Arabidopsis thaliana: one gene and its partner. The protein of the gene in region 2 interacts with the protein of the main gene of each other region in a pairwise test. Each region holds a gene or a part of one and is shown on either strand. Other genes may lie near its edges.

The links.
Region 1: the proteins of AT2G14860 (region 2) and AT5G66480 interact in a two-hybrid assay, tested with the Arabidopsis thaliana proteins (one large-scale study listed by BioGRID).

The regions. Positions count from the first base shown.
Region 1 is NC_003076.8:26,545,057-26,548,811, reverse strand, and holds the start of AT5G66480 (bacteriophage N4 adsorption B protein), read left to right. Parts: upstream 1-1,811; 5' UTR 1,812-1,992; intron 1,993-2,331; 5' UTR 2,332-2,335; coding exon 2,336-3,077; intron 3,078-3,399; coding exon 3,400-3,755. Other genes in the region: AT5G66500 (Tetratricopeptide repeat (TPR)-like superfamily protein), read left to right, coding at 1-736; AT5G66490 (uncharacterized protein), read left to right, coding at 1,060-1,389.
Region 2 is NC_003071.7:6,387,626-6,391,380, forward strand, and holds the start of AT2G14860 (Peroxisomal membrane 22 kDa (Mpv17/PMP22) family protein), read right to left. Parts: upstream 2,044-3,755; 5' UTR 1,939-2,043; coding exon 1,624-1,938; intron 1,233-1,623; coding exon 1,004-1,232; intron 550-1,003; coding exon 425-549; intron 285-424; coding exon 195-284; 3' UTR 1-194. Other genes in the region: AT2G14870 (RNA-binding (RRM/RBD/RNP motifs) family protein), read left to right, coding at 3,547-3,755.

The DNA.
Region 1 (3,755 bases), on a different chromosome or scaffold from region 2:
TGCTGGCTGCTCTGATAACTCTGATCTGTGGATTGGTAAACAGATACACTGTGTCGCTTTACGTAATGGTTTCGTTTCAGATTCTAAGCTATGCAATGGCTTAATGGATATGTATGGAAAATGCGGTCAGATTGTGCAAGCGCGTACTATTTTCAGAGCTATTCCATCTAAAAGTGTGGTTTCTTGGACGAGTATGATAGATGCGTATGCGGTTAATGGGGATGGGGTTAAAGCTCTTGAAATCTTCAGGGAAATGTGTGAAGAAGGAAGCGGAGTTTTACCGAATTCAGTGACATTTCTTGTTGTTATATCGGCTTGTGCACACGCAGGACTAGTTAAAGAAGGTAAGGAATGTTTTGGTATGATGAAGGAGAAGTATCGGTTGGTTCCTGGAACAGAGCATTACGTATGCTTCATCGATATCTTAAGCAAGGCTGGTGAGACAGAAGAGATATGGAGATTAGTCGAGAGAATGATGGAGAACGATAATCAAAGCATTCCTTGTGCTATATGGGTAGCGGTACTCAGTGCTTGTAGTCTTAATATGGATCTTACGCGAGGCGAATATGTAGCAAGGAGGCTTATGGAAGAGACGGGTCCAGAGAACGCGAGCATTTATGTGTTGGTTTCGAATTTCTATGCAGCGATGGGGAAGTGGGATGTCGTTGAAGAATTGAGAGGAAAACTGAAGAATAAAGGTTTGGTTAAAACAGCAGGACACAGCTTATTCATATGAATTGCTTTGTTTTTTCAGCATTACACTACACTTGAGCTACTGTTTTTGTGTCAAGAAACAGAGCAAGTCCACTAAAGTCTAAAGCATTGTTGTGGAACTGTCTCGTTGTCCTAATTAAGTCAAACACCAAAGAAGACATAGTCAAAAATAAAGTAGCATTGACCCACGAATAGTAGTAGGTGAAAGGGCAATGTCACATAAGGTTTAAGTTAAAGGAGTCGTTGGGATAAGGAGAAGAGAAGTCAAAAGATGTGTCCTTTTCAAAATCTATCCTTTCTTAAAAACATATCACCAGAGAGAATTGATCAAAACCACAAGAAATAATGATTAGAGCGCTGAGCACGAGGAAGGTTCGAGGCAGCTACAAGAAGCTCGGCGACGAAGAAGAAGCAGGCGCAGGGCTTTTAGAAGTGAAACCGGAGAGCGTTCCTACAAATCCCCATGGTCAATCCCCGAAGGTGAATAAACCGGTGGAGAAAACCAGGGGTTCGGCTCACCCTCTATTTAGTTTCTTCGAAATGAGTCTAAAGAGGAAGAAGAAGAAGAAGAGCACGACGACTGCAAAACCAGAATTCGCTAGGTACTTGGAGTATGTCAAGGAAGGAGGTGTTTGGGATAACACTTCAAATGGACCTGCCATATATTACAGATAGATCGGAGAAAGAGATTTCACAGAGGTTGTTTATATTTATTTTCGATTTGTGATATACCTTTCTATTTGAATAAGAAGGATGAATACATACATACATCAAAGTAGAAAGCTCGTCCATAAGCCATGATTCTGCTTCTTTGTGGACAAATCCATGTAATTTAAGTTTACAGTTTGATAGTAAGAAAAATTCTCGGTTTATTACTTGTTATCAGTAATCAGACTGGGTTTACAAATTTACGAATAAACACAGTGGGGCCCCTGATGACTACAAAAGCCTACCCGAAACACCAGGAGATGCCACGTCACTAAACATACAAAACCCCATCAAAACGCAGCCGTTCCGGTGATTCCCCAAAACCCAGCGTGATACGCGGTCGTTGCGAATGAAAGCCTTGGTGAAGAGGTTTAAATTAAGAGTTTGTTGCGACTAAAGCCTTGGAGAAGAGGTTTCTCTTTTTTCTCTCCTCCTCAGTATATATCTAATCTCTGTTTGCTCTTTTTTCGCACCATGTCATATCAATCTACCATCAATCGATCGTCTCTTCTTCCTCCGTCTGCGTTGATCTTTTCGTTTCGTCTTCTCCGATTGATGCTCTGTCGCGAGGTAACTATTTCTATCGAGTGATTTTGCTAGCTGCTGACTGTTCGATTTGATGATTAAGGTCTTGGTTCCGTGATAATCTCTGTTAAATTTAGTTTAGGCTACTTGATGTTGAATGATTAGTTTGATAATCTCGCACTCTATGGTTTGCTCCTTCCCGAAATTGAACTCTCAGATTGTTAGCTTGTTTGTATAGGTTATTAATTGCTTGACATTGATTTGGATTTTTGTTTATCCGTTATCGACTCTCTCGATGTTCATTACTTTATTAGTTGAACAACGCTCTCTCGCTGTTGTGTATCCCTATTGGTGGATTTCTAATTGAAATCTTCAATGATGCAGAGTCATGCCTACATTTTCTGCTGCCGCTTTGGGTAGATCACTAAATTCAGGGACGTCCTTATCTAGTAAATTTCCAAGCACACTGCAGTCAAAGCCGTCTATTTTGAATGATGAAAGTAAGCAACCTAAAGAAAAGACATTCACTCGTCCTCAGATGTCACCTTCTCTATATGCCACTACTAAAGAAATCCCTCATCCCAATTCGCCTTCTTCCTACCCTCCATCTCCCTATATCATCAATCACAAAGCTCGTGGGCCTGTTCTTTTCAATAGGGACTCTGAGGTGGATGGGCCTTCTCACCCGATAACCTCTGGTGAGGAAAAGATTAGTGGTAATGTAGATGTGGAGGCTACTGCCTCCTTGAGCAAGTCCACATCCCTATCATTTCCTATCACCGAGGCTATTGCGGTGGATCACACCAATGGTGTTCACACCCAAGGCATCCATGAACGTCCTGTTTGGGATTGCAGTCCCCCTCTTGGGACATTTTTGAACGAGAAGTCGGGAAGAGATATCAGCAATGGTGGGATTGGAAGTAATAATGCTACCAGTAATTTAGAATGGCAAAGTTACTTATTGGAGCCGGTAAGAATAAAAGCAGACAAGGAGCTTGAGCCTGAAAATTTCTATAACCCAGGTGAATTAGTAAGCTTCACAAGTAACACAGAGGTAGAAGATTTCGAGAGAGCTGAAAGCTCACACAGTCTTGCTACACATGTTGGAGAGTTTTATGATGCTTGCGATGGTACTGTTTCTTCCTACTAACTTTTTTAACCACGAGATAGCTAGAAAATTCTTATGATGTCTGACATTTCTAGCATCATCACTTTTTGCCAGTTCTTGGAGCCTCTTCTCCTTTAGTTTTAAGTGTTATATGCATATATCAGTATGTGATTTTGGTTGTGAAGTGGCCTTTTAGGCTTGGGATTCCTGTGTTTATAGTCATCTTGAATTCGTGATAGTTATGAATCAGATTTCCAAAGACATAGAAAATCTGCATGCATGATTCACTGGTATATCTAAGAAACTGGTTTTAATTTATTCAGTTACTGTTTCTTGGCTTCCAGAACTATCAACTGACAGTGGAATGCAGAGTTCAGCTAACAACATTGAATCTGAGGTAAGGGAGATGAGATTGGGTTTACTAATGGAAATCGAAAGGAGGAGGCAGGCAGAGGCGACTCTAGAGCAAATGCAAGTTCATTGGCGGAGGCTCCGTGACCAGTTGGCCGATGTGGGTATGTTCCTTCCTCTTGATCCCACCAGAAGCCAATACAGCATGAACCTAGCTGATGAGCTACGTTGTCAACTTGAGGTCACCAGGTTTGTCTCCGACACACTAGGCAGTGACTTGGCCAAGACAGAGGTAGAGATGGAGATGGAAGCTGAGCTCGAAGCTAAGAACTTTGAAATCACCCGGTTG
Region 2 (3,755 bases):
AGGAAACAAAACTTCATTACTTCGTGATATACATGTCTGACATGAGAAGTTCTTCCAAGCTCTTACATTGTAACAACCTAATTCTACAGACAGTACAGAATAATTTTGAAGAATGCTCATTGCAGTTTGATGTGGCGATAACTGAGCACTAAGGGAGGCATTGCCCGAGTCGATGTAGAAGATATGTGAGTGTTTCAGGTTGAAATTGCGACTGGTTTTTCACGGTTTGCCATGTAAGTCATGTAGATAGTCCATACATACGAAAATGAGTTGCTTACAAGAGGCTGCATGGAAATAAAAGCAAGAGCAGAGTGAGTGCATCCTGAGATAAGCAGCAAGAACACAAAAAGTAATGGAGAACGTAAAAGGATTGTCTTTTTTGTTTTGTGTCTTGAACACAAGAATGGCGAGTCAAAAGGATTACCTGTAAATGAACAGGGAAGAATCTGAATGTGATAAAATCACATAGAGGCCAATACATGACACCGTTAAAGAGCGCGGGGAGTAAGTCCCTTTTCAATCTGGCAAGTATAACTGAACCGCGTTCCCCTGAACAAATATCGGAAAAGCAGAATAGCTTAGAACATGTCCAAGATCAAACAAATCTGACATCAAGAAATGAATTCAAGAAGCAGAGAGGCGACTTGTTATAAAACCTATGTAATTCAGAGTAAAACTAAGAGCAGAAACTACATTCTCTCAGTTTTGTTAATTCGAGATTGCGGGTTTCTTCTTATCTAAATAACCAATCAATCACCACTTATCATTCTCACCATTGACACATACTAGCCACGAGCAAAACTGATTAAGAGTTGAGTAAAACTGTAATGGCAAGCAACAGTTCACAATAGATAAACTTCAGAGTTGGACGATATCACAATTTTGTGAAGAATTTTCAACTGAATTGAGACAATAGAAGAACGAAAAGATATGTTAAACGGGTTAGTCTGTTTCTTCCTATCCTAACACAATCCTGTTCTTAGATATATACAAGGAGCTTTACCTTGTAGGGATGCATTCAATGAGAAGAAAATAACAGTCATAATAGGCCCGTAGATCGTCTGTCCCATAGCCATTTTCTTAAACGTTGTGATCAAATCTTGTTTAGGAAAGAGTCTTGACATGAAATTGAACCAGTAGTGAAGTGTTGGACCCAAGACAAATAAACCATATCCTCCCATCCTTGCTGTTCTCACCAAGTCATAAGACTCAGAAGAAGTTTTCGCAATCGTCTATACAAAGATCAAAAACAAAATGAACCAACCAACGTCAGCTCTTAAGAGCAAGTACTCACACTGTAGAAAGCTCCAAAAAACCAACACACTACAAGGAAACGTAACCGTAGCTAATAGAACTCCTCAAAATTCACATTGCACAGAGCTAATTAAATCACCATTTCAAGAAGTCTCATTCCTCCAATAAAAAACCAAACTTTACTTCTCCTACTGTTTGATATTAGTATCAAAGACCTAGAAACATCTCCCAAACAAAACTTAAGCCATTTTATATTTGTGAATCTCATAGCTAAAGAGTACAAATTTCACAAAAAGACGTAATTTTTAGCTACCATAATTGGAAAAGGAAACTCCTTTTTCCAGTAAAAGCCAATTGCTAAGTTAGTACCTGAGAAGACAAGTCGGCGGCAATGTAAATAAGAGAGGAAGTGACACTTTTGGTCACAACTGGGTGTGATTTAACCATACCAAGATACCATCCAACGAACCCAATCCTCGACGGAGATGAAGAAGAAGAGAAACCCAAAGAAGGAGAAGGTGAGACTCCTGTTTCTTTTGCTCTTTCGAGAAGCTGACGTGACCGGAAATAAGGTCTCGATTGAGCAACTCCGGTCTTACCATATTGGTCTGTTGACGCCGCCGCGTTCCGCCGTATGAGCCGAGCGGTGTCGACGGCTACGTTCCTGAACAATGCTCTGCTCATTATGGCTTCCGAGATTTTAGGGGTTGTTGTTGTTGTTCAGGTATCAGAAAGCTTTGATGATGACTGCAAAAAATTGATAGATTTTTCCAATTTAAGTAGTTTCAGTCGGTTTAGCTAAACCGTACATATACCGAGTTACCCAAAATATCCGGTATAAATGGCCAAAAAACTCAACCACTTTATGGAATTAGTTGGGGTGGGCATTTAGGTTTAACTTCGGATTCGGTTTGAGTTTGGTTCCGTTCGGTTTTTTGGGTTTTGTAAAATTCTAACCAAACTCAACCGAAAGTAGTTGAAGTTAGTATGGTTTGGTTTGGGTTTGGGTCAATCTATGTTCGGTTTGGTTTGTTTTTAGTTCGTTTGATTTTAATTCGGTTCTGAAAGACGAATCAATATAACGAAACAAAACTATTTCGTTCATTATTGTTTGAACGTTGAATTTGATCATAGTTAAGTTAAGCAACAAGTTCAAGTTGCAAAATTTAAGTTGAATAATTCAAATAAGGGAAATTTGTACATAACATTAAAAAAACTTTAATTAGGTAACTAACCAAAAACAAAATGTATGTAATATTCTTTGTATATTCTGTAATTTGGACTATTGTACCCTTTATGTAAACATCAAACATACTTTTCATGTATCTTCTGTGTTTTCTATAGTCTCTCATCTCCTTCTTTTTTCTATATATCTCATGATTCCTTCATATTTATTTTGTTATGGCCACTATTTCTTCTTCTTAACCAAACCCTAGCCTTAGTATTAATACTGATTGTAGATCTGCTTCAGAGAGATCGAAGGACCCAAACGATTTTATCTTATTGTTGCCTTCACTACCGAACGATTCTTCACCAATTTTTTTTTTTCCCATCTTTTCATCATTTAATGTGCAATTTCTTAGATTGTGAATTGGTGGAGAATCGTTCGGTAGTGAAGACAACAATAAGATATTGAATTATCCTCACGAGCATAGAAGACAACGGACTTACGAGTAGGAAGGAGTGTGTTGTATTTTTACACCTCACATGTGCTATTCAATGAATTATGCATATTATAGTGTTAGATATTTAATAACTTTATTTAGAATGGTTTTTCACCTAATTCACCCTTCAAATAAACCAAAAAAAAAATTAAACTACAAATAATTACATATGTACTAATATACAATATTACTAATTAATTAATTAAATAAACATATAAGGTTATTGGTTCGGTTTGGTTTAAAACAAACCAAACCGAACCATTTCAGTTGAGTGAGAAGAAACATAACTGAATAGTTTGAGTCTAAGATTGGATTTGGTTTGGGTCGGTTCTGTTTGGTTCGGTTCGGTTTGGTTAAAATGTCCATTCCTCAATTAGCAGTGCCATCAAACTAGTTACAAATTATAGGTTCGGTAGGTTCCTTTGGGTAGTTGGGTTTAATGATTTACACAACACCGTCAATAATTTCTCCTTTGCCTATGATCAATTAATGACGGTTTAATATCTTTTTCCTTTTTTTCCCTATAAAAAAATTCTCACGTGCGTCTATCGAAATCACACTAAAATTTTCTTTTTTCCATGAGAAGTTTTTTTTCTCTCCGGCTAAAGGAAGAAGAGAAGGTACCACAATGCCTCCTCGCACGGGAAAGGATAAACAAAACCCCAGGCTCCCACCGGAGGTGACTCGCCTACTCTACATTTGTAACCTTCCCTTTAGCATAACAAGCGAAGATACGTACGATCTTTTCGGAAGGTACAGTACGATTCGTCAGGTTCGAATCGGTTGTGAAAAGGGCACAAAAGGTACGGCTTTCGTCGTATACGAGGATATCTACGA